4 linked regions of the Stegostoma tigrinum genome follow. The protein of the gene in region 4 interacts with the protein of the main gene of each other region in a biochemical or structural test. Links are inferred from orthologs where the notes say so. Each region holds a gene or a part of one and is shown on either strand. Other genes may lie near its edges.

Region 1 (6,980 bases), on a different chromosome or scaffold from region 4:
GCGAGTAAATCATATCCTAACTCTCTAAAGCTTGTCCATTATCCACAAGGTACAAATCAGGATTGTGATGGAACATTCCCCACTTGCATGGATGAGGGTAGATCTAACAACACTCAAGAAGCTAAACAAAAAAAACCCTAAGTACCAAGGATGCTGGAAATCAGAAACAAAAACAGAAATTGTTGAAAAAACTCAGCAAGTCTGTGCAGAGAAAGCAGAGTTAATATTTTGGAAGTCCTATTAGAGCTTAAGTTCTGATACTCAGCTTTCTCTCTATGCTTGCTACCAGATCTGCTGAGTTTTTCCAGCAATTTCTTTTTTGCCTCAAGATGCTAACACCATTCAGGTCAAAGCAGCCTGCTCGATTGGCACTATATCTACAAATATCCACTCCTTCCACTACTAATGCTCAGTAGTACCAATGCAGGTCAACCATAAAATGCATTGCTAAAATTCATCACGGATCCTTGGACAGCACCTTCTATATGTTTGACTACTACCATCTAGAAGGACAAGGGGGCTACCAACTCCTGCAAATTCCCCTCCAAATAACTAACCCAACCTGACAGGAAGTATATCGCCGTTCCTTCGCTGTCATTGGGTAAAAATCGGGGACCTCCTCCCCCCCACCAATGGCTTTGTGGGTCAACTTACATGAAACAGACTGCAGCAGTTCAGGAAGGCAGCTCACCACATAGAGTTGGGCAATGATGCTGACCAAGTCAGTGATTTCCACATCCAAGAGTTCCTTATTTTTTTAAAAAATTGCAAGGGGCACCATGCAATCACAGTGGCTTTACAGACAGTGATGGCTATAGGACCTGGGTAACCGCTTCACGCTGAAAGTTTTCTTTTGTGTTGCAGCTTGGTGTCCCTGATATGAATTTTAAAGCCCTTGACTTGCTCGCTGCCCCACTCCCCTCAGTGAATGGCAAGCTAGGCAGCAAGGAGTTGCTCAGGAACAAGGGATACAACCATTATGATGGCAAGCAGAGCAGTGAACCAGAGAGGAAGAGACAGCAATAATAGGTGCACATTTTCTGGTACCCATTTCAGTGCAGTGCAGATACACCACATCAATGACACTATCTTCCTTTACAAGTGCATTGTCAGCACATCCACTATTTGGTGCCCATTTGGACGCAGCATAAAGATATAAGGAAACACTGGTAAAACAGTGTGTGGCAGTTTAAAACCTATTTCCAAATGACACGTCTCAGAGCTTTACATTTTGGTGTCAAATTTAACCTGTATTATTTATCTGCAATCGCAACATAGGACCTTGCTGCACAGACAATGAAGTTCCTTTGTGTGACACGTTCAAAAGACAATCTGTGCTCCCTTACACCCTCACCAAAATTATCTCTTTTAAAATCAAATCTTTCACATATCAACCAAAAATTAATATCCCAGAGAACGCAAATGTCTGGGTTCATGCAAATGAAGATTCCTGTGCTGCTTTTGCGCTGTCGTCCCTTTCCTAAGAACTCACGGAGGTGAACATTTTCCAAACTAATTTTCATAAATATTAATTCTTAGGTGCACACATTATTGGCCGGGTGAAATCTATTGTTGATTCCTCTCTGCCGGAAAAAGGCAATGTTGGGCTGTCTTCTTGACCTACTGATTGTAGTTTGTTATAACTGCTTGGTTTTCTGAGCCCCTTTAGGAACAATTTGTAGCTGCATTGATATGGGATCAGAGACACAAAAAGGTCAGACCAGGTGAGGATGGCTAAAAGATTACTTAGCCTAAGGGAGGAAGCTTTTCTTTTAATGTAGTGTGTAGTTTGGACCTTGAATGTTCCGCCTGTGAGCTGTTGGACGCAGGATGAATTCAGGTTATCATAAGAGAATTTATCTAAAGAAGAAGACACTGCAGGTTTGTGAGGAAATGACAGGGACTTAGATGAATTGCACCTTCTGAGGTCCAGCATTTACACAAGAAGCCAAATTTGTGCTGGAACCATTCTGTAATGCTACTCTACAGGGCAGTTTTATTTAGAAATGGGGGGGGGGGGACTAATTTAAAATGACACCGATTCTGTGACCATTATTAGAACTAAATTATGATTGTTTTAAATTTTTAAATTTGAATTAAAATTCCCAATTTGGAATTTGAACTTGTTCAATCGTGTTGGCTCCTATATACGTCTTCCATAAAGTGACATATTTCAGCTCTTTTGATGACAAGGGAATATCCTGCACAAAATCCATTTGGGATCAGGGCGCTGACACTTCGCAGGAGTTCTCCTGAGCTTGCATATTGAGTCATGTGATCTCTCCTGGTGTACCTTTGACCAATTTTGCTTTAAATCCCTCAGTACATTGCCTCTGTTAGGAAGTATTCCTGTGAAAAGCAGCGCACAGGAGTCACTCTGTTCTCTGACCTACTTTTCCTAACGTTGCTTCAGCACCAGTCCATTCCAGAAAGGACGGGAAACATTAATCCTTTTATTAATTTAGCACAGTGAGAAATGGGTTAGGGTATCCATGTGGTAAATTGCTCCCGTATTCATAGACTGTGCGTACAGCTCCATCTCTCAGCTCACCGTCCTCGACATTGGCAGAGTCCAGTTCATGCTGAGACTGTGTTGATCTGCTGTTAGATCTGTATTAATGACAGCCTTGGTGGAAGCCCGTCCTTGTCTCTCTGATGACAGTCTCACAGCACTCTTTCTATAATGTATGTGTCCTGTTTTTAAAATGCTTTCACTCACTCTCTCTATTTTCCGCAAATCACACTCACTGCCCAAGAAGTAATTGTCTTTCCATCTGCAATTTTATCTACTTTTAAAAAATATAAGCGAGGGGCATCACCGCCAGATTAATTAGGAGGAGGGGACTGAATTAAAGCTTTTCTGATACTGGAGTGATTTAAGAGAGTACCTCCCTGAGTCTGACACCTTAAGCCTGGATTTCTGTTAAATATCCCCCATACCCCCATCAAACTTATATGAGACGCAATGGAACTCCCGAAAGCCAGGCTTATCATGTGAAATATCTAAAGTTCGTTCCATCTGCCTGTGTTTAGCCCACCTTGAACCATCCACGCTTCAGTTGTTAGTCATCATTTGTGATGAAGCTGGATGTCGGGACGCCATCCGATCTGTGGGAGCGCATGAAGTGAAATTACTGGAGGAAATCCCATTCCCTTGAGAGGTTCAGCGTCTGCTCGTTCCACCAGCCTCTCTGTTCTGGCCCATACACTGCTGCTGTGTATTAGCATAATCAATTGCTGACTCGTCTACAGTAGCTAGGGAGGGGATGAAGCTGCCCTGCTGCCTGCCTTTTTTTTTCCTCTTATGGGATGGTTCATTCCTGGCTAATTGGATCAAGGAGGAAGTTGCAGGCTGTCTGTGCGGTTCTGAATGGTGCGTGCTGTGTGTGTGTGTCTGATTTCTGCAAGACCTGCCTTCCCCCAGTGTGTGTGTTTCTATATCTGTCTGTGTGTAGATGAAGGAGGAGGAAGTTCTGTTTGTCCTCTCCCTGTCTCTGCACCACCACTCCCCCTCCTCCCTTCCCACCCTCCCAGCTAATGACACCGCTGCCACACTGCGCTGAAAGCAGCGGGCACCTGGTACCGTTTGGTAATGACTCTAGCTTTGCTCTGGAGCAAGCCGCACAGTCACAGTGAGAACAGGATGCCGCGGCCTTGTATTTGTTTTTCCTGAAGGTGTGTGTGTGTGTGTGGTTGTGGGTGTGGGTGGAGTTTTTTTTTTCTTATTTTACCAATCCTCCCAGGTGAGAGAGAGAGATCAGGAGCGACTTTCAATCTAAAAAAAAATAAATGGCAGCTAACCTGAGCAAGCACAGCCAGAGATGACTTGAGCGTTTGTGCACTCACTGGAGAGACTGAGTGGACAAGGTGCAGAGCTGCTGAACCCCCACTGTTGCCCCCTCCCCCGCCCTCCTTTACCACCACCTCCTTCCCCCCCCCCCCCCCCCACACACACCCAGAGGACTGTCGCTGTCCATTTGATGCCTGGACACCTCGCTCGCCCTTGCTTCTCGCTCACTTCCCCTATTGTTACTCAAGAGGTTGCAGAGAACGGTGGCACCTTCAATGCACCGGGAGGATGTCAGAGGAAGGGAGTGAAAATTCTCCGGATCGCTACCCCCCTCCCTGCCTGACCCCGTCTACCGAAGACACTGCGGAGGATGCTCCCTCGGCAGGCCAGAATGGAGCGCTGGGGCTGAGCGGCCTCATTGCTACCTGCTGCATCTGCATGGAGGTGGAACACGTGCGGACTTGCTTAAACTCTGAGAAGATCTGCATCATACCCATCATGGCCTGTCTGGTGAGCCTGGGTCTTTGCATTGCTGGCCTCAAGTGGGTTTTTGTGGACAAGATATTTGAGTACGAACCTCTGACGCACCTTGATCCCAAGCGCATAGGGCAGGGTCCTATAATCTCTGCTGACCAAGCAACAGTGGCCGAATGGCCGCCACCATCAACTGCCTTTACCGCCACTTTTCCGATATCTGATTTGATCCAGACGGTGAACGATCCTGATGACCCTTTGGTGCTCCCCTCAACTCCTTATGCTAGCCCCTCTCCTCAGCCCCCAACCTCCTCTCCTTCCTTCCTACCCTCTGTCGTACTCGAATCTTTCTCCCCAGACCCTGTCGTCACCAAAAACCGCGAAGTGACAGAATCAGCGTTTGTAACCCTTCCCCAAATGACAGATACAAACCTCATTATCGCACCGGCGTTTAGTAAGTAACACATTCTTTTCCTTATAATTCTTGGTGGGGGAGGCGGGGTTTGTGGATGGGGAGGCAAATTCTCAGCCTGTTGTAATCTGCTACTTTAATGTTTAAACAGAACACTTTGTCTCTTAGAGAAAGCTATTTGGTCTGAATGTTTCCATTTGTCCTCAAGAGAAATGAGTTTTGCAAGGGATGGAATCCTCTTGACTTTCGTTCATGGTATCATCAACAGCACAAAGATTCTATTTCACATTCTCTTCAATATTTCGTTCAGGGTAAGGGGTTTGTTTACTTGGCTTAGATTTTGTCAACAAATGCAGACTTTCATAGGGGAAGTAGTGCAGAATCGCCTCTAAAATAACATCTGTATGAAAACAGTGCACTGGGAAATAGCTTTTGAAGTCACGGGCCCCCCATTGACAGAAGCCTGTTGTTTGTGTTTAATAATACCATAGGACTGTAGCTGGGCTACTGTTAGCATGTTTTGTAACCTTGTGAATCTTTGCTCCTGATTCTGCTGACTTACGATGTATTCCAAAAAAGCTTCCCATGCTTGATGCAAACTCTGGTTTTAAACAAAATCTTTGTTAATTTGTTTTCTGACCCTGCCATGAATAAAATCCAACCCATTTAAAAATTATACTCCCTATTTCATCACGAGCTGCTTTCAATTTAGTCCGAAACACCAGCTGGAGATTAATCAGAAAGGCAGTCTATATGTATATAATTTGTTCGGAATAATCAATATTTATTCTCTTGTAAAAGGATCTGTACTGTGCATGTATGTATTCTCTCCTGTGATTCTTTTTTGCCTGGTTCTGAGGTGAGCTTCAAGGTCAGTCACTGCTGTGAACTAATTGATTCCAGTCTATCCCAGAGACTTATAGAAAGACAATCTTGTTAATGTTGCCTTGTAGGTTGTCCACTTTGTACAATGACTTTGCAAGATTTTTTTTCTCTCTTATTAGTTTTTGGCTGCCTGCCAAACTTTTGATATTTCAGTATCCTCACTTGTTTAACTGGTTGCAATGGCACTTTTTCAATAACTTTAATGTTATTCTGGACCCAATGCACGTCCACACCTTTGCTGAAAATCTGAGAAATTATTTCCTGCCTGAGTAACTTTCTTTCACCATTGCTTTGCTGGCAGTTTTACTTATATTTGCATGCAGTTCTTTACCCTGGATATTTGAAGTCAAAATCAATTCAGAATATGAGCGCTTAAACAGAAGGACACAAAGCCAAGGAGTATGTACAGACAGCTGCAGCTAGCAGTTAGTCCTTCTTTCGTGGTATATATCTTTGCCTTTATCTGCTTTCATCTCAAGTGATGTAGTTTGCTTTAGAAGATGGTTCATGTGAAACTATTCAAGTCAAACAGTTCCCCACCTCCCCAAACAATTGCTTATTTTATTGCTATAAGTTGCTATTTATAAGTGTGCACATGGAGTTTTTTTTAAATGGATATTCTAATTGGCAGAAGAGCCAATAATCAGAAATTGTAGATTTAAATCGACTTTGGAACTACAGGTGATAAAAGGTACAATTTTTTTTCTCCGAATGGGTGGTTAGTTTCGATAAAACACTGCATGAGAATGTAGCAGTGGTCATGACTAGTTCTTCTCTGCCTTTCAACAGGGAATGGGATACTACTTGAAGGGAAAAATCTGGTTGGGTGACAGCAGAAAGGGGAATGATTGGAACACAACTTGCCACTGGCCTCCTTCTGAGTTGAGACCATTCTCATATTCTATACAATGTCACTGGAACTGGTTCATGATTTATCTCATTTCAGACAAGTTTAGGTATGAGACGATTAACCTAACCCTATGGCTGTCATCTTTTGTAGTTGATCTGAAATGATGCAACACCTGGATGAGGAAGGATAGTGGCTTGCAGTGAACTGCAATCCAGTTAGTGTTGCTAGCTCTCCAGATTGTCTCTGAAACCTCCAGGATTTAAAAATTAATCTGCAGGTCACACCTCTGAGGACGTCAGGAGAAAAAAAATCATTGAGACAGCAGGAAAATTTTCTTTGACCACTTTCATTTATCAGTGACAATTGGAATGTTTGGCGGAGAATCAAGAATCATCCAATCAGGAAATTAAACTGTTTAAGTGAAAGCAAAATACTGGGGATGTGAACCAAACACTGAGAATGCTGGAGAATCTCAGCAGGTCTGGCAGCCTTTGTGGCAAGAGAGAAGCAGAGTTAATGTTTTGAGTCCAGCGACCCTTGAAAAGGGAACAGGATAATTAGCTGAAAGG
Region 2 (6,877 bases), on a different chromosome or scaffold from region 4:
AACCCTGAAGACATTTCATCAAATGTTAAAATGAAAATGTCTGAAGTTATATTGTTAAGTAGAAAGTGGCAAAACCATCTGATTTGTACATTGTATTCCATCAGCAAATATGATGTTCTAAAGCTATTTAATATTTCAGCATCATCTATCTTAATTTGACAAGCTTGAGCTAATTATCACAATGCAAGTAAAAAGTGTCTAATAATTATCTGAGCACTGAATAAAGATTTCTGTGGATCTCCTTTACGTCACAACAAACCTGATATAAATTCTTAAGCTGTAAAACTACACAAGACTATGTGGAAGTAAGTCTTTGAGATGTATAATAGCATATTATTACTAATACCAGGAAATTTGACAACTAACATTAGAAAATTTGACTCTACATCAACAGTCGCAATGACAACTTGAACAGAAAAATGTGAACTTTAGTGTACTAAGGGCTACATTTATAGACTACATACCAACATAAATAGTTAATGATTGCATATACTTCACATTCATTGGCTAAGCATAAGCAACATTTGTACGTACCACAGTAATCCAAAATGAAGTCAGTATCACTCACATCAATAGATTTTCGACTTCCAGGTTTTCTTTAAACACAAGAAAAATGTTATAGCTGAGCTATTACAAAAAGAGACGGCCTGCATGGCAAGCATGCATTTAATAGTTGGAAAATAACCTAATGCAACCAAGAGGTTTATCCAATACAAAAGATCACAGAAAACTTGAGTTTCCCGTGATAGAAGTTAGGAAACTACATTCTGGCAGTCTTCATAACACTCACATATTTCCAGCCTGTTATAACCCAAAATGGGTCATCTGAACAACGTGGTAAGTTTTAGAGGTGATTGATGTACTGTTTGACAAAATAAAGCATCCCTCTAAGATGTTAATACCGTTCACTGAGTGCCATGGGTACCTAGTATAATGATAACGTTAAGTGCAATCGGTTGGCTTTTAAAGCCAACCTTAGATTGACCTAAATGGTTCCCTCTAAGTGTTTCTGCTCCATTTTGTTATTTTATGTGCCAAAACGATTCCCTAAAAAGTAACACAAAAGAACATTTCGTAAAATAAAATGTTAAGATAAGCTTCACAAACATAACGAAGAGTGCGAGCTAAAATAAATCTTGCTCCCAAGAACGACCATAAATGTACACGTGAAAGAGGAGACTGGTAAAAATACAAGGCAATCGCTCTCAGACCAAAACTGCAAACTGTCCGAGTGCAACCTTTCTCTTGCCATGTAAGAGGCTGCAACGAAACATCCCAAAAATGCTTTTATGATGTCGAATTACACCGCACTAAACTAAACCAATAAAGCAGAATTGCAGCAAGATTCCCCCAGCCGTTGTCCAATAGCTGGTGACTGTTTTGCCGACCACCAATTGCTAATTACCTACGGCTACTGATAAGCTATTTGAAATGCTTACGGTCTGTTTAGCGCTCCTGAGCCACCCACCTGCATAATAATAAACAACGGATACAAACACCAGATGCAGTTTGTTGACAAGCTAATTCAGAAACCTCGCGGGCTGCAGCTCACACGGCGTTCTTCAAAAAGGTATCGAAAAACCATGCGTCATTCACTACAAAACTTAGCACATCGAAAACTAGCCTTTCTTTAAAATGCTAAAGCAGAAAATACAGGTAGGTATTTGTGCACACTTTTCCAAGCCAATCCTTCATATGAAGTCTTCCACGAGCATCAGATCTCAAGATCGTAGAGGCAGGGACCAAAGTACAGAAAGGAAATAGTGCTGAAGTTTTGATGTAGTCATTAAAATGACATTATCCAAACACGCAGAATTGATATCGAAAACGTCCGCAAACACAAAGCTCCTTCTCATAGCCCCAATAATCATTTCATCCTGAATCAATGTGGGTTACAATGGAGGTTACAATAACCTGCAAACACTTCAACATGCAATTCCAACTGTCATAGCGCAATAAAGAAATTCCAACCCTATTAGCAAAATACGAGGGGGGGAAATAACTTACCGCAGTCCTCACACAAGATCCTCCCAATATCTTTTTTTAGATTCTTTCCGCCTGTGTCTAGTGGAGCAAATGATGTCTTGAATACTAACGGCTCATCTGTTGGCTCCATGAAAAAGATATATTTCTGGTTCTTCTTTACTTTGATGCATGGTGTTTCTGATCCAAAGTCCCCGATCGTGACAAGCTGATCCCTCGCTAGACCCCCGCTATGAACTGGCCACACGTCCAACACTTTGACATTAATACTGTAAGGCTCGGTGGTATGATTTGGGACTGACTGCACTTTGCCTTCGATCACCACCGCTGAACGATAGGCTTGGTCCTGCAAAGAATTTAAGCTCGGGGAATAGCAGGCAAACGACACCCCCGCGACCAGCATGGCAAAATGGACAGCACCAAGCCCCATGGTTGAAAGGCACGGCCGCGCTCGGCTGCACTGAGGTGTAGAGCGGCGCTGAGTTGGAAGGCAGAGTTGTGACAAAGTGGGCTGCAAATCGCCTCGAGTTGCACGGCTGAGCAAGAGACCTTGCGTAAGTGTTCATGGCATTTGGCTGTTTGCATGGGGAAACACCGCTCGGAAGCGGAAACGGCGTAATACAGTACTGCTGCCTAAACCTGTCACTGCAACGACTGGCAAATATCAACAAAATCCACTTTGTTTATTAAATGAACACAAAGCACTTACCGTCATTCGGTAACAGCAGCGGCTCCATCGCATTATGTGTCATCCAACAGGCGCAGTCTTCTGCATCCCACTGAGATCCCGAACACCTAACACATCGCCTTATGCTTTCCAGTTCTATTAACGAAGTTCATACGATGTTAATAATGCTGTCGCTATAGTAACTAAACTGAAAACTAGTTGCCGAGAACAGCAGCTTGTATGTTCCACAAACCTATCCCTCCATTCAGTGGCAGCCAATGGTTTCTGTGTACATTACATTGGGGTTTTGCAGTCGAGAGCTCGCCCTGCAGCTCTGCATAGACACATTTCATTTCCCACGAAGGTAGCCTGCTTCAAAGGCTTTGCTATAGAAACGGTTAACTGATCATTCTCTGGAAGGCAGAGGCATGAAAAAACAAGCGTTTAATAATTTGAGCGCGGGTCCCAACAAGGGCCAGTACCTCCTCACATTCAGTGAGTCTTTATTCTCACACATGTATATATATATCTCTCTCTCTCCTCTCGCTTTGATCTATTCACAACTTGGCTGCATTCCGATCACATCCACTTTGTGCTACAGACCGCTGGGTATGAGAATCCTCGCTGCTGCCTGCACACCTACTCTGAACAGAAACCGCGGTACTAGCGAAAGAAAACAACCTGAACAGGAATAGGAGGAGCGACAGAAGATGCAACAGAACATCCGCAAACCACAGGTACGGAGTATACTGTCACTGACCACGTGAAAGCACGGTCCACCCTTCTGTACAGGTGTTTGTGACTTTCCATGAACAGTATGCGTGTGTTCGTTCCATCTAAGATCACGCCTGTTTTAATCAGAAGTCGTATTTCTGCGTGTACTGTTGAGTACCACAGTGTAGTCAGGAGCTGAGGTCTGATACGTTCCACAGCACACGACTGCGGACCACCAGTGAGGTATCCCTCGTCATGTACAGCGACTCCCAGCGTTTAGATTGAAATCGGCTTTTACGGCAAAATATTTCCTGCAAATTCTAAGCAGTCCGAAAAGCCTCTACCACACCCGCCTAAAACTTCTCAGTGTGTCGAGGCTTGATAAAGAGAGCTCTACTTTGTGCATACCTTCCCTAATACCAGCTCGTTGGCTCATTGTCCATTGGTGCTTCATCCTTAGACATTATTTTATTTCCGGAAAGGTTAGCCATCGCCTTCCGATCTCAGATGCAAAGTGAAGAGGTAGTTTCCAATGTCCCTGAGTCAGACCAGGAATTGGAACCTGAGCTGTTAGTGCCTTTTCTGCAGCACAGACTAGCTATCTAGACAAGCGACTCAGGCGACTCCCAAAGAAAGTCTGACAGAATTTATGAGTGTATTTTTCTGTGTGGCGTTCCATACTTTTGGTTTTACAGGGAGGAGGCAAAAGCGTGGGGCCGTTGCAGGCCTAAGATGGTATCTGCGGAGGCCACCCATATTTCTCACCGGGGCCATGTGGACACCATTCTAAATCAACCATTAGCCCAGGCCCTGGGTGAGTGCACCAGCAGACCGGTGAGGAGGCAAATTGTGACAGCAGTCAGCGTGTGGATTCTTCCGTAACACTGTACGGGGGAATTATCGTACAGGAGCATGGAGGACCCTTCCCTACTCTGACCAGCATGATTTAAATCAACTACTTTTCAACAGTCACTGCATGATTTCTGCTAGCTGTGGCTGTGTCAGTAGAGGTAAGAACACAAAGTGCTGGAGGCACTCAGTCGGTCAGTCAACATTTGTGAAGAAATAGAATTAATGGCTCAGATATTTGGATACCCAGAAAGTTGTTTGAGCAGTGTTGACAGCCCTCTCTGTTGTAACTCAAGGGAAATTGAAAATTCTGATGAGCAATTGCCCAGAAACAGGATCCCTTCAAAAAAAAGCATTAAAGTAGGAAACATCGAAGAAATCTGACTGGTTCTAAAGTTAGGTGATTAAAACCATACTCTAACGCCAGGGTAACAACGAAACTGATCTCTCCCCCACTCATCATTAAGTCAGAAGTCACACTATACCAGGTTAGAGTCCAACAGGTTTATTTTCATCAAAGGAGCAGCACTTGTGATTTCAAATAAACCTGTTGGACTATAACCTGTTGTCGTGTGATTTCTCATCTTGTCCACTCCAGTCAAACACTGGCACCCCCACATCACCACTCATCACAGACAGCCCTCAATTGCACCCCCCTTGACACCTTAATCCCTAAACCTGTGACAATCATCCCAAAACTACGCTCTTTCCCTGACCCCTTCCTGACACAGCCTGACAAAGCCTTTCTGGATAGCCTGACCTCTCCCTGGATCTGATACACCTGCTGACCTCACCTGCTGCCCCCAAAAGCATAAGACCCTCAGGCTTAACAACCCGTCTCACATATTGGACTTGACACTCCTCACTCCTGACCAAATCCTGGCCTGACTCAAAACTTCCCCTTCACAACCATACCCCAGCATCACCCTCAATAGAGACCCCCCTACACACACCAAGCTGACTGCTGAAAAAGGGAGCATTTTTAGATGAGGATCTTCTGCACAGCTGAATTGGTGGACCATGGACAGATTCATAACAGAAAGACCCTGTCAAGGAATAACAGGTTAAAGACAAATGGATTATTTTTAATCCAATAAGCATACCTGACTGGACTATTTAGGCCAATATTACAGGGTAATGACTGCTGAGTATTTCCAGCATTTTCTGATTTTATTTTCACATTTCTAGTAAATCATTTTTAAGTCTGTAGAAGTGTTTAGACCATATGGCAATAAGAAATAGGACCAGGAGTAGCCCATTCAGCCCCTCAAGACTGCTCCTAGTGCTACTCAAAGTCTGCAGGGATTGATGCTGCAAATAGTGGATGCTTGAGTTCACTTCAAAGGTTCCCCTCAGACCAGTTGCTCTCATTCATTGGTATTGTAGTTTCCATAGCCCTGGTCCTCAACATAACAGGGAGATTGAAAAGATATGACATTGAACAGGACAAGATGAATGAAAAGGGAGCAGAAGGAGGGGAAGGAGGATGCATAGCAGAAGTCCATATCTACCCAGGGTCTTCAGTGAGCAATTCTCCTATATCAAACTCAGAAAGGAACAGTCTCTGTTTCATTAAGGAGGCGAGTACTGAATTCTGCCACCTCTGACAGGCAGACATTCAACCTCAGAGTCTGAGTTCTGAAGAAGAGTCGTACTGGACTCAAAATGTACCCATTGTTCCTCTCTCCACAGATGTTGCCAGATCCACTGAGTTTCTGCACCATTTCTGTTGTTTGCTTTAGGGCATTGCCTGAAGATGTAAAGGTGACAATGGTCACCATGAGCTTCAGTACACTAGGTTTCTCCTAGTAAAAGCAGACAAAACAAGTGCATGATTTCACCCAGATAGACCCACAGTCCAGGTTTACAAGTATATGAAATATAGGAGAGTAGCTAAAGTAGATGCTGGTCTCTGAAAGACAGACGCAGGAGAAATAAATCAGGGAAATGAAAAAAATGGCAGAATCATTAAACAACTAATTTGTGTCTGTCTTTACAGCAGAAGATATAAATTACAGATGAGCAGTAAAAGGTAACCAAGGAGTTAATGATATTAAGGAAGGCAATTAATATCAGCAAAAAAGTAATATTAGATTAGATTCCCTACAGTGTGGAAACAGGCCCTTTGGCCCAACAAGTTCACACTGCCCCGTGGAGCATCCCACCCAGACCCATCCCCCGATAACCCTCACATCCTGAACACTATGGGCAATTTAGTATGGCCAATCCATCTAGCCTGCACATCTTTGGACTGTGGGAGGAAACCCACGCAGACATGGGGAGAATGTGCAAACTCCACACAGACAGTTACCTGAGGCTGGAATTGAACCCGGGTTCCTGGCGCTGTGAGGCTGCGGTGCTAACCACTGAGCCACCGCGCCACCCATATGGGAGAAAAAATTTTGAAAACTAGATAAAGGGGAAACTGTAGCTATAGTGTACTTGGATTTCCAAAAAGGCATATAGTACAGCATATGATAATTAAAAGATTCACATAAACTAAAGATTAGATAACACTTAGGGATAATACATCAGTGTGGATAGACGGACTAGTTTAATAACAAGAAGACAGGGAATGAACAGAGCATTTTCAATCATATGTACTGTGACTAGTGGAGTACAACAAGAATCAATTCTGGGGTCTCATCTATCTACCATCTTCCA
Region 3 (7,126 bases), on a different chromosome or scaffold from region 4:
GATGAGGTTCCAATTACAGTCTCGACCAAATACAGAATGCATGTTTTACGAAGGTCATCAACTACCCTATTGCTGACGCTCAATCAAATGCAACAACACACATTACTACTATAATCCTCCACACAACACCTATCCTCAATCCTGATAAAGGGTATAAACCCAAAATGTGTTCCTGCTCCTCCAATGCTGATTGATCTGTGTTACTCCAGCTCTACACTGTATTGACCAATCCTCTGGCTTCCCATCTTTGTTAACATAACTCTACCATACATTCACCAAATGATGAAAGGTTGGCGGAAACCATCCATACAGTAGCTCTCTAACTCCTCTGTGATGCTGACATGTTCAACCCAGATACAGCAAGGTTTCTACCTCAGCACTCATATGCAGCAACATTTCTGAGCAAGATCCACCAGCAAACATTTGAATCAAAGGAAGGGAAACATGGGACATCACTAACCAGTTTGTATCGACAAGCACTCGGTCGAATAGCAGGTTTTGAGTCAAGGTACAACTGGTCCTTTCAGTGCCAGCCAGGGTGGCCTGTATAGGCAATTTCCACTGCCCAGGAGTCAGTACAAAGTTGTTTTACACTTACGAAGCAAGGTAAATAACGTTGCACAAGACCAAAAATGTCTACTCTACAGGCTAAGCAGTGCACCAATAACCTTCAACTCAGCAAACAAGGCAACTATCAATTGACTTTGTGGTTTGATATTCAAAAAAATGATGGAGATTTGCAAGTAAGGTTGGTAGCCATTTAAAAGGGTGAAGAAGAAGAAATAGGGAATAAAATCAGACTTAAGAAATAAATATCTGAATAAATTAAATGAAATTCAGCAGCAAAATACCTAGGCACAAATATAAAATGCAATTCTGGATTGTTGTGATTCTGGGAATCTTCGATCCATATTGCTCTTTTAAAACTCAAATGCTTATTAATTTCAGTTCAAATGAAACTGAACCTCAACTATACATTTAGCCAGAGTTTATTACATCATTGAAAAAAAAATTGGATATTTCACAGGCTTCATGAAAACAATGGTTATTGCAAGGGAAGTGGACTTGTAAACCACAAACATCCACTGGACAGACTTAGCAAAATCCAGTAACATGCAATTCAAGACAGACCACTTGGTCTTTCTCCAAAATCACAATATCTGAACACCTGAATTCAGGTTCTTGAACAAACACAAGAAGCACTTGCTCTTTTCAGCTTTCACATCTATTTTCAGCTCATCACTCCAAAGCCACACTATGACGCAGCACAAATGCAATGAAATTACAGCATAAGGTGGATGCTAACTGTTCCACCTTAAAGCTAATCTCAGCCGCCCAGAAATCAACATTTTTTTAAAAATTACATCATGCAAAATTTAAAAAAACTTGTGAAGTACTCTTATCTCAATAATTCAAGGATGCTAACAAAATCTACAGAACAACTTGGATTGATTTTGCACATTTCACATCACACAATGTTCCAGAGTACGTAACCTAACATTTGGTAGAAAGCCAAAATAGGAAATATTCAAGCTGATGGTCATAAGTTTGGTGAAAGAGGTCAATGATAAGGAACATTGTAATGATGCAAACAGAAGCCCAAAGACAATGAAGTTTTGAACTTAAAGCCACGCAGTTCAGGGAATGATCAGGAAAGTAATCAAAGACATTCAACAGGTCAGAAATGCAGCAGGGATACTTTGGTCAGCGATGGGGCTGATGGGAACCAGTCACACGGGGAATAAAAAGTGATGGACGATCATTTTAAACTTGAGGCATTCTATAACTAGACATTCGAGTAGTCTGTAAGCACGAGCACTGGCACGACAATGAAACGTTAGGTCAAAGTACACCACAATCGTCAGGTCTTCAAGTAACAGTGGCATGGATGAGCTGATTCAGGGCAGAATGCAGCATTGCTAGTTGTGGAAACAGGTCATGATGACGACATGGTGGTGTGCGAATACCACTTTATACCACTGAAAATGTTACAAGGCATTTCAGACCACAACTTTAATCTATTGATTAAACCTTGATTTTCATGCAGCAGAAAATTACACTGATTTGTAATCCCGTATGCGTCCCAATACAAGCCCAAGTGAAATTGATGACCACCCAAAAGGTGCGATATGCAGATTTGGATTTGGAAATAAAATAATTATTCTCGGAACACGAACTGTGCTGATTTGGAAATCGCTGATATCACCTGAAGTGACCTACAGTAATGTTGATGAGAGATCTTATTGTTTCTCACCAACTGACGAACAGCAAAGCGAGAAAGTAATGGAATAAAAACAATGGGGAATGGATTTGCCTATATTTGTGCTATAGTTAAAGGATTTTATCCTGGTCCCTATGTGTCTTACCATGGTGACTGAAAATGTTACAGGCGGCTTCGTTACTCCTGGCTGCTGTGTCTCGCCTCTTGGCCCCATGTCCGGGCCTCGTTGTGCCAAGCCTACCCCTGCCGGGCTGGACTGCCTCCCCAACCGCACCAAAACCAGCAGCTCCGCCAACACGGGCCTGCTGCTGCCCCATCCCCGGTCTTTCCAAGAGCGTCCGTCCCGAATCCCGGTCTTTCGGAGCCTTTTCCTTTACATCCTCACTCGCTATGCACTCCCGCTTCTCGGCAGATTTATTGTGTCGCTCTCTGCCCCTACCCGGCCGGCTCGGCACGGCCCGGCTTCCTCTCCGCCTGATATATAGTCACAGGTTGGGGTCGCCGCCCGGTCCCCTTCCCTCGGGCTGAGAGGGGAAGGAGAGGGGTCGGGGGTTCTTGTCTCTTCAAAGCGAATGCAAAGCACCGTCCCTGCAGATACCGCGGCGGAAAAGAGAAAGGGGCGGGCGATCACTCTTCCTCAGCTCTGGCACAGCAGCCGCTCTCTCCGCCGACTCCGCATCCGCCCCCGTCCCCGCTGTCCGTTTGCAAACGCCTGTGCCCCAAGCCACAACGAGGCGTTCCATTCAGGCTCCTCCAAGATGGTCTTCCAAAAGTCCACACTGTCGCTGGTCCTCCAAGGCACTCCTCCGCCACTGGTCCTCCGAGATGGTCCTCCAAGACTCTCCTCCCTCACCGGTCCTCCAAGACACTCCACCGTCACTGGCCCTCCAAGACTCTCTGGCACTGATCTTCCGAGACTGTTCCCTGCTGCCGAACATCGAAAGAACCAGGTGCCAGTGTTTAAATTGATTTACCGACAGGAATGGATGTTTCTGAGTAAGAGAGGACTGACCACAGTTCTGAGAAGATAATATCGTCCTGCTGCTAAATCTAAACGATCGGTCGGAAGGGTTTGGAGTCAGAGGAGGGAAGCCTAAGCTGAATACTCACCTTTTCATTGGGATCACAAGACTAATCAGAGACATTACTGTTGTCCAAATTTTCATTTAATGCAGCTAACTGACAAACCTGCAGGAAACGTATCTTGATGGCACCTGATTCTCTTGGAATCATGTGTATCTGTTCATTAGACCTCATGTACAACATACACAGAACTTTTACTGAACTTCAAATTGATCAATATTGAATTAGGCATGACTTGGAAAGTCCTCTCCACGGTACATTGGTGAGTAAAATCAGTGTTGAATGAAACCAGCTAATTCCTACAAGAAAAAGCTGTTACCATGAATAATAGAGCCAGATATTCCCCCGAGAGCTAGTTGCATAACATAAGCTCCCCATTTAATGCAGCGAAAATGAATTGACCAGGGTTTGTAAGTTTTTAAACTGTTGATGACATCATATTTCCAATGTATATTTCTTTTTCATGTTCCAAAGAAACAATAATTTTCAGATTCAAAATTATAGCCAAATCTAAAGATCAAGGAAAAGGCACAGAAATTGTTGTACAAGATGGCCGTAGTCAGAATTACAAGGAGGGGGGTGATGTTTTCCATTTTCTATTGCGCACTGAATTGTCATCAGGTCTAGTTTTTATTTCTAAAGTGGACCCAATGGTGTCAGCATAATTTTGAATAGATTAGATTAGATTAGATTCCCTGCAGTGTGGAGACAGGCCCTTCAGCCCAACAAGTCCACACCGCCCCTTGAAGTATCCCACCCAGGCCCACCCCCCTATAACCCACACACCCCTGAACACTACGGGCAATTTAGCATGGCCGATCCATCTAGCCTGCACATCTTTGGACTGTGGGAGGAAACCGGAGCACCTGGAGGAAATCCACGCAGACACAGGGAGAATGTGCAAACTCCACACAGACAGTCACCCGAAGCTGGAATCGAACCCAGGTTCCTGGCGCTGTGAGGCTGCAGGGCTAACCACTGAGTCACTGTGCCGCCCTAATGTCCTAATAACACAGTACAAGAAGACATAATTCAGTATAAGACCAAAGCATAAAAATCTAGAAGGTGCAACATTTAAGTTCCTGGCTTGCAATGAGATAGCAAAGCGCTTCCCAAATGCTTCCCTCTGTGACACCACATAGAGGTTTTGTGATGACGCCTTTGTGTGAATTGTAAAGCCAAGCAGCAGGGAGGATATTTGGATGGAAGAAAGAAGCAAAATATTTGATCTTTGGGGATTTCTAACAACTTACTTTTTCACTGGCTTTTTTAATAATCAAAAACCAGATGCCGAAGACCAGGTAATTAGGCCTTGCCAACCACAGAAGTATGTGAAGAATGAAAGAGGATTCACAGCTGTTAACATTCGGTCAGAGCTGCAAGGGGAAGGCACCACTGACATGGAGCTCGCAATTCCAGAATTTCATCTTGCAGTCCACTGTTTGAGAATTTCTGATTTAGCATAACCCAGCAGAGAAGCAGCTCGACTCCTGCTGTTGACATCAGTACTTCTGGTCTAAAGAATATACAAGTCAGCCAAGATTCTTGAACCAGGGAGAAATGGTTTGCTGAAGCAGTGACAGTTTGCTTAATTGTCAATCCAAGAACACAGCTATTTATTGCTCAGATTGAACACTTACTTGCATCAGTAATATATCAGTTTGTTTTTGACGGAGTAGACTTTCTTAACAGTTGAACAAAATCAGTGAATCAGCAATTACTATCTGAGCCAGTGATGAAGGGTCTAGGCCCGAAACATCAGCTTTTGTGCTCCTGAGATGCTGCTTGGCCTGCTGTGTTCATCCAGCTCCACACTTAGTTATCTTGGATTCTCCAGCATCTGCAGTTCCCATTATGTCTATTATCAGAGAAAAAGAAATGTTAGATTAAGAATGAATGAAAAAGGATTGGAAAAGGAAGAAAACACGAAGTTTTGAAACCAAAGAAGAAGAATTTGCTTTCAGTAAGATCGAGAGTCAACAGTCTGAATTGCTTTCTTTCTGGGCTAGAGAGATTAATTGGTCTTGCATCAACAATTATCATGCCATTAAAAGAACATTTAGACTATTAAGTTCAAACCCAAGCTTTCTTTGGTGCATCCAATGTTCAATTAATGCAGAAATCCATTGTTAAAAACACTAGACAGTAACAGGATGGTTAAACTGCTGTCTGTAAGAAGCAAATCAACCACAAGTTTATGGAGATTTGCAATGTATTGCACAACTTTCTGCGGTGGAACCTGCAGCTCAAATTGTGCATGAATAAAAGTGTGCATCGTGAATTCACTGTTTCAGAAAGATTCGGCCCAGCATATTTTAAGCATTTCCTGTTTTCTGGAACTGTGATTCACCTGTTCCTATACTTCCTTGTACAATGCTTGCACCCCTGTACACAAATCTCCTAACTAATGAAACATGATACTCAGGCACTCCTTCAGAATCAAGATCAAATTCCACTTTGGGGAGGGTCTGAGATTGCTGATAAATCCAAAGTGTGATCTGGAGATCCTACACATTCAAGGCAGTTGGCACTTGAAGGTCAGGTTGTTGAGTTGATGGAAGATTTGTGCATTCTGTTCAGTGCCTTGATTTTATATTCCTGACAACCAGTCGGTTGGTTGGTCACAAGCCAGGGATGCCCATGGGATTGTTTTGAAAATGTGATTTAAGAACCTCCTGAAAAAACTTCCATTGTCATAGGAGTATTAGTAGACTATAAACTTTGAGAGTCTGATGTTAGTTATGTGACCAACAAGTTCTGCCCAGGGGAGCTAGTTTTGCGTGATTAGTACTGTGATACCTGTGGAAATGTTGATTTGGAAGATACAGGTGCTGTTGAGCCACATTCCTTGCTGCTGGGTTTGGAGGATCTTGTGAAGGCACCTCAGATCATACATCTCCAGTGTTTAAGTTACATGATATAGCTTCTCCAAGTCCCTAAGGAGTGTGGGGATAACTACTGCATGTAAAATGTGGCCTTAATACCTTTTAAATGTTGTAATTGTACCCACCTCCACGACCTCCTCTGACAGCTCATTCCACGCATGCATCACTGTCTGCAGGAAAAAGTTGCCCCTCAGGTCCCTTTTAAGTCTTTCCCCTCTCACCTTAAACCTATGTCCTCTAGTTTTGGACTCCCCTACCTCATGAAAAAGATCTTACCTATTCACCCATCCATGCCCCTCGTGATTTTATAAACCTCTATAAGGTCACCCCTCAGCCTCTGACACTCCAGAGGGAAAAAAGCTTCAGCCTGTTCACCCTCTCCCCATCACTCAAACCCTCCAATCCTGGCAATATCCTTGTAAATCTTTTCTGAACTCTTTGAAGTTTAACAACATTTTTCCTGTAGTAGGGTGACCAGAAGTGAACACAGTTTTCAGAAAGTGGCCTCGTCAATGTCCTGTACAGCTGCAACATCACGTCCCAAATGCTATACTCAACTCACCGGTCAATGAAGGCAAGTGTGCCAGATGTTTTCTTCAACACTCTGTCTACCTACAACTCCACTTTCAAGGAACTATAGACCTGCCCCTCAGGGTCTGTTTGTTCGGCAACTCTCCCCATGGTCCTACTGTCAACTACATAAATCCTGCCCGGGTTTGCCTTACCAAAGCGATACCTTACATTTCCCTAAATTAAACTCCATCTGCCACTCCTTGGACCATTGGTCTATTTGATGAAGGTCCTGAGGTAACCTTCTTCACTATCCACTGCACCATCAGCCTTGGTGTCATCAGCAAAGATACTAATCATACCTCCTATATTCATATCCAGATCATTTTGTGAAGAGCAGAAGCCCAGCAAATACCTGTAAAACACA
Region 4 (7,882 bases):
CACAGGTTCCTCAATATCACCTCTCCCGCGGGAGTAGCTGGGGCGGGGGTGGGGGGTGGTGGGAAGTGGTGAGGGGAGAGGAAGGTGGTTTATCTGGAGACTGGTGGCCACATCAAAAGGTGGGGGTGGGCAGAGTAGATGAAAGGTGCAGGCAAGAGGATGGGGAGATGAAGTTATGTCAGTGCAGCACAGTGAAAGCAGTAAAAACAGCCTGTGCCAGACAGTTCGAAAGGCTGGGCTGCACTGACTCATTGAACAGACTGTTCACTGTGGCCAGTGCCCAGTTCAGCTTCCTGTTTGCCCCATTCAGGGATGGGTTTCACCCCCCCCCCCCCCCGTCCAATCCCACCACAGATTCCGTGAGCAAAAGCCACGCCAGGCCGTGGTGGCCCAACGGGAAAGCCCCGTTACCAGCCGATGCCCCAGCTCAATCCCGATCTGCATTTTAAAAGGGGACCTTCTTGCTCCCGCATCAAGCCTGGCAAGGCGTAACCCATCTCGTCTCAACACCCCCGCGGCTCTATCCCGAGCGTGCGGTCTCAAGGAGCAAGCCATTCCCCAGAAAAGGCCGCGTCCTAAACTATTCCTGCAGGACTTGCCGTCCAGACTGTCCCTGTGGGGGAGATGGAGGGTTGGGTGGGCAGGGGTTGAGGGGGGGTGTGTTACTCTTGAGAAGTTGGCGAGCAGAAATCCCACGGCCCATCTGAGTTGAAACCAGCATGGGACCCTGGTGTTTACCAGCCGCCAACAGTCCCACCTGAAACCTGCCAGGGGAACCTCTTATCTACCTCTCGTCCCCGCTGATCTACCCATCAAATCACGAATCGCTCCTCTCCTGGAAGGCGCTTCCAATGTTTCAGTGACGGTGCCCCTTTATCATCCGCGACTGTCAGATGCGCCAGTTGATGCTCTCTGAGCAAAGCCGCTTTCTCAGCGCCTGGAAACATCCATCAAGATCTCAAAGCGTGGACAATCACTTGGGACTGCATGGGGGCGGGGGTGGTGGAGGAGGCTGATGACACTCTCCCAGCACTTGTTCTACATTGACCGGTGTTGACAAGTGAACGCTTACTCAAATAAACAAACAAATCACCCTCGTCAAAACCCGTAACTTGCCCATGGCTGTCTGCCTGGTGGGGCGGCTCAAGCTGTTTGTAAAGCAAACCGACGAAGCTTCTGTTGTGCACGATAGGTCTGACACAGGTCCCCTTCCACTCAGCCCCCTCACCCACCCAAACCACCTCACCCAGTCTAAGGGAAGATCATTTTTCACGTCAAGCACTGGGCAGTGCCGGGGTGAGGGTGGGGGGGGGGGGGGGTGGTGGTGGCGTGGGCGAGGGCGGAGGAAGTAGAGGGAAGACAGCCACAGTTTGGGCGAGAATGGTCAAGGCGAGGGGAAGGGTAAGCCGTGGGCAGCGTGTTCTTCTGGAGACGAGATGTTCAGCACTGTGTCTTGTACTGTGTGTGTGTCTGAGAAAGAGAGAGACTGTCATCTCTGGACTGTATTGCGTTGGCTTTTCTTCATCCTGACTGGGATCAGGCACAACAGCTGAGACAGAAAGGCTGAAAGAGATGGGGGCTAACTTTGCAGCTTTTCCCGGCTGAGGACAAAACAGGCTTGGGGATCTCTGATGTACTCCCCAACTCCTCTGGTTGTAATGTGCGCGCCCACTCCCATCTCATTCACTGAGGCTGGATGAACAATACACAAAAACTCTCCGCTTGTAACGACTGCCCGATCTTACGTGCGGGTCGAAAAAGCGCACAGCGACTCTCAGGTTCTCCCTTGTTTTTTTCTCTCGTTTAATGTGAACACGATGCAACCGAAGCCGCTGTTTCAACGAGCTCCAAAAGGCACGAAGGCGGCTTGGTGCCCGTCCAGCCACCCGTTCATCGTAACAGATCTCCCCCGGTCAGGTCATCCAAATGTAGCCGGACCCGACTTCAAAACACCCTGACAACTCACTTGGCCCCCCCATCGCATCGTTAAAAGTACTGCGCTCCCATCTAACTTCAAGCGTATCTAACAACGCAATGACAGGCTGTCTCTTTTTTTGTCTTTTAATTTGTTTAATCTCAAAGCAATTTAGTCGACGCTCCGTGGCATTTTGGTTTGGAGTTAACCCGGGTTCGTATCTCCCCACAATCTTAGACACAAGATACCGCAAAGTTCCCCGGCGGATTACAGCCGGCGTTCATACCACACTCTCAAGGCTACATGAGGCGCCCCGCTCCCCACATAACACGAACTGTCAGTTGCCTCCACATTAGATACTGTTACATGACTCAAAAGTTGCAAAACCCGTGAGGAACACTGAAGGTAAATTCACATTGTTGCTACACTTGTACGCCTCTTAGTAACCGCGGGGCGTGATTTTGTGTGGCACCAGAATAAAAACAATGCCTCTGCACAGACAACCATTTCAGACAGGAGCTAGGGCAATCGCAACGAAACTTTTCCCTCACACCCAACTTTGCCATGTCAATAATCGTGCCAGACAGACAACGCAGAGGAGGAAGGCGCTAACCGACACTAAACCGCACCCCCCCCCCCACTACAACCACCAACTACCAACCCTTTACACACGCACATATACACAAAAGCAAGAAAGGACAATGTGTCTCCTACCTGACTGTGAAATTACTTCCTGCACCTTCAACGTTGCACAGAAAACACTCACAAACAGAAGAGCGGCCAACTTCATTTTCTCCCAGTTATTTTTTTCTCTGGCCCCTCTCTCTGTGTTGGTACGGGAGCGGCTGTGTCAGACAGTCTGTGCATTCAAAGCAAAAAAAATTACATGACTACCACTGTATCCGCAGAAAGTGAGGGTTAACTTTTTTTGCTGTTGCTGCTGGGGGGTTTTTTGGGTTTGTTTGTAAGTTGCTCCCTCCTGTTGTCTCGGTGTTATGTTTTAAATTCAGAGCGCTGTTTCCGCGCTGGGGGTTCAGTGCTTCTGACCGGTCTATGTGCCAGGCTTGCTGCTCATTTTCTCTCTGTCTGTGCCCAGTGCAGCACTGCTGGATTGGTCGCTCTCGCCCAACAGAACCATGAACAAATTCCACTCCGGTGCCCCTCCCCGCCCCCCTATCAGCTTCATTGGCCACTTCACCAATCCGGCACCTGCCACCTCTCTAACCATTGGCTCCTCCGCACGTCCGTCAGGGAAAGTCGGCCACGCCCCACCACCTCCCCGCCTCCCGCCCCTCCAAAACACCCCACCCTCTCCAGGCAGGGCATTCAGGGATTTGTAGTTACAACTTTGTGACCATGCCATCGCTGCTACTTTCCGACTCGGAATTGTATAGGTGCTGACCGTTTTTTTAACCATGGTATAGTTTTGCGATGATCACTTCTCGGGATAATTGCCTGGTACATTGTGGAGATATGGGGACCTGTGCCCTGGGGAGAGAAGTCGTGGTGGAGGTGGGGGCGGGGGTTGGGTAGTCGTGGTGGGTTGGGATGCTACTCTAATCTGGGATTATGGGGTTGACTGAGCCCAAAAGCGTAACAAGTGTCGATCTTCGTTCGCATTCCTACAAACCTAGCCAGCTGCACAAACCGAGCAGTTTACAATCGTGTATTTTCACATCCCAGGCACAAATCATTCAGGTAACCCCAGCGTCCATTTGATTTACCATTCTGAATGTTATGCATTTGATTCCACACGGCGCATTCCCATGCATTCCCCGGACTTGCTGCATACAATGGCTATGTTCATTACTATGTGTGCATACCCAGAGTGTAGCCTTTTAGATCTGCATGCGGTCTCTCAACGCGTAACAAAAGCCCAGCATTTAATATACTGTCGTTTTAAACATTTCCCCGGAGAAGAACTTCAGCGTGGAACCCGAAAGATTCAGGGTTGACCCAAGTGACAAAACAAAAGTGTCTGGCGAGACAGCTCGCACACTTTTCAGACGCGCACTTTTTCTTGTGGCAAATTTCTCACAAGGCTTGGAAGCAAGCGATCGTTTGTAAACAGACGCAACGTGCCAGAAGGCGCAGTGCAATAAACACTCCCAATCGTGGACTTGCCATCTTCTGAATGTTTTTAACTGCAGACGATTTTACAACACACGCACGCTCAATATTTCATTGTTTGCTCCCTAAAGTGAGAAAATCGCAGGATGAACCGAATTAGAAACCAAAAGAAATTTTAAAAAACCCAAAACTACGCTTGTAAAGATAATTCGTGACAGTAGACGTTTTGTATTTTCCTCTCTTCCCCAGAAGTGTTATCACACACAACTGAGCGACATTACCTCACCAAAATCAGTGACTGTCTTTTTTTAAACGACTATCCGTTACCATTAAAAAAAAGGACCCCTGCGGTCACTTCGATATTTACATGCAAAGCTTGCTAAGGGCAATGCGAACCATCAGAAGTGACAACAGATGTTTTAGGAAAAAACTGAGAGCAGTAAATATTCACAACTGGGTTTTTTCTTTCAAAAAAAAGTGTCCCAGCCCGTGAGCAGTATAGGAGTTGGCGTTTCTGAGGAATTTTGCAAGTTTGGAGAATGCGTGTCGTCTCCATTAGACTTCTGCTGCATTCCAAGTGTGCCACCGACAGAAATGCTTCGCTCTTTTGACTTCGAATCTTGTACCCTGCATCGCAGTTTTACTTTACGGATATTGTCAATATGTCAGCGCTCCCTAGTGGTACGAGGGAATCTGAGGCAAATCGTATTCAAATCGCTGATTTAAAAAAACCCTTCGTTTTAATGACACCTTTATGATTTCTGAAAACCGCTTCAGCTTTTAATTTCCCAAGATGGCTCGGTTTTAATTTCTTCCCGGACTTTGCTCGATTTTATCTATCCAGAAATATTTGCAATCGTTTGCATTGTTTATTTTTGTTTTTTTCTCTCTGTGATTCTCGCAACATTTCCCGTGACCTTGAATTTAGCAAAATAAATGCGTATGAAATCTCCTATTTTAAACCTGAGGCAAATGAAAATATAATAACGTCTTGGGAGGTTTTGCATTTGGAAGTAGGGTTGTTCTGTGTCAAAGTCGGTGCCTTTACATGTTTCACGCACAAGCAATGTTCAGATTCTATTTGAACAATATTAACATTAGAGGCAAGAGTTTTGTTTTAGATGCATACATGGTGAAAGACGTCGCTATTTACAAAAAAGGTTTTCTCAAATGTTATTTAATTTTTGAATTGAAAATATTTCGGGCTCTGTCCATGTTTGTTTTCGTCCGGTTACTTTATTTACTTTTTACTATCAGCGTTTAGCTTTCCAGTTAACTGCTATTCCGAGGTGGCATTATAGCTCGCCTCCAAGGCAATAAATTCTCCGACGATTTCCAAATTTTCGATCACCAATAATGTCAGTAAGTGTGGATTTGTACAAGCTTATCATGACTGAGCATTGAGATCTGCTGTATTTTGGCTTCTGAATTTAAAAAAATCGACCAATTTTTAATGCTGGGGCGGCCTAATTTTGATTAAGTTTATTTGACCTCTTTTTCCCCATTTTTCAAGATTCTTCAGGCTCTGTCAATATTTGATTTTGACATTTTTCCTCACGTTCTCTTTGTGTCAAATTCATAATTAGGTTTGTTGTTTTGCAATTTCCTGGACTTTTTGAATTTCCAAGATTTGCTTAGGTTCACTAACATAAATATTTCCAAGCTCGATTCTTGCCCCCTTAATGTTTATGTGCTATTCTTTAAAACTATAAACTTTGTTGTATTTGTTACATCTTTCCAGGTCAGCTGTATGTTTGACGCGCCTGTTTTGATACTAATGAAGGCTAAACTACAATGTCAGTTTCATTTGCTACCGAGGCACTCTGTTTTTTTTCAGAAAAATATGTTTATAATTTTCGATTTCCTCAGATTTTGAAATTGGTTTCCACAGCTTTTGAGTGTTGCCGGTTTCCGGAACTGAGTGAACCTGGGTTTGGTGAATGAACAATGTGTTGGGTGGAGGAGGGCCGGGGAAAGACAGGGCGAGCAATCAATGACCAAACTGTTCATTCATGTCGGAGACGTTGAGTGCGAAACACGACGGGAACAATGGAGCAAGTATTCCAGAGACACCCTGTTGACGACGAAGCAACCAATGCTGAGTCCCTCATGCATTCAATGCTCATTATTGATCGCAGACTGACTGTTCCCAGCACGGACAGACATCATTTTGAGCAGGAGATGTTACAAATGCTCAGCGGCTCTAGCAGTATCTGTGGACAATTAACAAAGAAGAGTTCACTTTTCCTGACCTCTCTCGAGGACTGCACAGCCTGTAAAATTAACTCTTTGTAGCACTTATAAGAATCTAATTTCCATTTGGATGCATCCTTAAATACTGCTCCCAATACCTTCAGGCATATTCTTCATCCTTATCTTTGTCTATCAGTTAATCTCTTTTGAATGTTGGGCCCAATTGGAGAGATCCTGGCTTCAAAATCCACGATTTCGAAGAAAGAGAGCGCATTGTGTGACCGCACGCAGTATGGCCACTTTAGTATGGATCTATCCCAGCACAACTCAATTAATTAATTAATATTGTCATCGATAAGGCTTGTGAATGAAGTGCATTTTGATTGCATGCATAGAATGGTAAGATTGGACATCTCAGCTACAGTCCTGCAGACCCAGGCACCAGTTCCATGTGATCTGACCTCACAATGACATTGCCCCTTTTGCACATACTCAGTAACTATACCTAGAGTGAGGGTATAATTAACTCTAGAATTCTATTCAGTAGGATTGATGTGAGGAATCCTGTCTCCACGATAAGTATGGGCAAGGCTGACCTACAGGCCAACGGAGGTGCTAGGTCAGATCATAAAAGAAGCCAGCAGGTCTGCAGCAGCCAAGCAGTCTCTCTCTCTCTCTCTCTCTCTCTCTCGTTCAGTTCTCTGCAGTAAGCCACTTTAAGCCTGATGAAAGCCTCAGCAAATGCTGCAAGTTGGGACTTCAAATTGGACATGTCAGAGACCTTTCATAAGTGAACCTGTGACTCTTGCAAATCAGTGAAGGCATTTGGAAGAAGAAATCTTTGGATCAGAAGGAACCAACCCAAGAGATCTTGTGAAATTATACTGTGGAACTGTTTTCTAAATTTGCCCTCCATCCACGTGTGTCTCTTAACCCTGTTTATTTTTGTCTCTTGTATTTGTGTGTTTGTAAGAGAAAGTTTACAAGGGGTTTTGAGTTGTAATTTGAAGAGTTTTCTTAATTTAGTTGAATTGCTTATCTATAGCTAGAATCTAATCAGCTGTAATAATTAGTGACACTTACGAAGAATAGTACAGAACCTGGTCTGTGCTTTCTGTCAATCTGTGTCTAAAAATCAGGTAATGTGGATTATTTATATATTACTTTTCAAATCTTTAACTCTAGTGATGACTGCAGGAGGAGTGGGGTTTGATTTTCAGTGTGAATCACAACGACATGAGGAGCAACCTTTTTAGACATGAGAGTGATTAGTGTATGGAATGAACTGACAGAGAAAGTGGTGGATGCAGGTACAGGTACAACATTTAAAAGACATTTGGAAAAGTACATGAATAGGAAAAGTTTAGAGGGATATTGGCCAAACACAGTCAGCTGGGACTAGTTTAGTTTGGGAACACGGTCGACATGGAATAGTTGGACTGGAGGGTCTGTTTCCAAGTCGTATGACTCTAATAGTCAAATGCACCAAGGTGCTTGTCAGGACTGTTAGCTGAAGACATTTGCTTTGAACCACACAAAAATACAGGGCACCAAAAGCTTGATGAAATCACTTGTTTATTTGTAACAAGGAAGAAGGAGAGGGAGTTCGAGAGGCAGATGCTCAGGAAGAGGATTCTAAGGTTTTGGGCCCTACACACTTGGGAATCAAGACAAAACTGGAGAATATACTGGATTTTCACATGG

The links.
Region 1: the proteins of receptor tyrosine-protein kinase erbB-4-like (region 4) and nrg1 form a complex in vitro, tested with the Homo sapiens proteins (2 studies listed by BioGRID and IntAct, with this or other methods). The link is inferred for Stegostoma tigrinum from reciprocal best matches to the Homo sapiens genes ERBB4 and NRG1.
Region 2: the proteins of receptor tyrosine-protein kinase erbB-4-like (region 4) and pro-neuregulin-2, membrane-bound isoform form a complex in vitro, tested with the Homo sapiens proteins (2 studies listed by BioGRID). The link is inferred for Stegostoma tigrinum from reciprocal best matches to the Homo sapiens genes ERBB4 and NRG2.
Region 3: the proteins of receptor tyrosine-protein kinase erbB-4-like (region 4) and abl2 form a complex in vitro, tested with the Homo sapiens proteins (2 studies listed by BioGRID and IntAct, with this or other methods). The link is inferred for Stegostoma tigrinum from reciprocal best matches to the Homo sapiens genes ERBB4 and ABL2.

The regions. Positions count from the first base shown.
Region 1 is NC_081354.1:13,474,147-13,481,126, forward strand, and holds the start of nrg1 (pro-neuregulin-1, membrane-bound isoform), read left to right. Parts: upstream 1-3,961; 5' UTR 3,962-4,078; coding exon 4,079-4,718; intron 4,719-4,965; exon of another isoform or gene 4,966-4,987; intron 4,988-6,980. UniProt on the Homo sapiens protein: Direct ligand for ERBB3 and ERBB4 tyrosine kinase receptors. Concomitantly recruits ERBB1 and ERBB2 coreceptors, resulting in ligand-stimulated tyrosine phosphorylation and activation of the ERBB receptors.
Region 2 is NC_081366.1:39,056,937-39,063,813, reverse strand, and holds the start of pro-neuregulin-2, membrane-bound isoform, read right to left. Parts: upstream 3,017-6,877; 5' UTR 3,004-3,016; coding exon of another isoform or gene 2,904-3,003; 5' UTR 2,807-2,903; coding exon of another isoform or gene 2,693-2,806; 5' UTR 2,414-2,692; coding exon 2,008-2,413; intron 1-2,007. UniProt on the Homo sapiens protein: Direct ligand for ERBB3 and ERBB4 tyrosine kinase receptors. Concomitantly recruits ERBB1 and ERBB2 coreceptors, resulting in ligand-stimulated tyrosine phosphorylation and activation of the ERBB receptors.
Region 3 is NC_081361.1:43,180,121-43,187,246, reverse strand, and holds the start of abl2 (tyrosine-protein kinase ABL2), read right to left. Parts: upstream 3,025-7,126; 5' UTR 2,539-3,024; coding exon 2,367-2,538; intron 1-2,366. UniProt on the Homo sapiens protein: Non-receptor tyrosine-protein kinase that plays an ABL1-overlapping role in key processes linked to cell growth and survival such as cytoskeleton remodeling in response to extracellular stimuli, cell motility and adhesion and receptor endocytosis.
Region 4 is NC_081360.1:9,781,270-9,789,151, forward strand, and holds the start of receptor tyrosine-protein kinase erbB-4-like, read right to left. Parts: upstream 3,014-7,882; 5' UTR 2,706-3,013; coding exon 2,630-2,705; intron 1-2,629. UniProt on the Homo sapiens protein: Tyrosine-protein kinase that plays an essential role as cell surface receptor for neuregulins and EGF family members and regulates development of the heart, the central nervous system and the mammary gland, gene transcription, cell proliferation, differentiation, migration and apoptosis.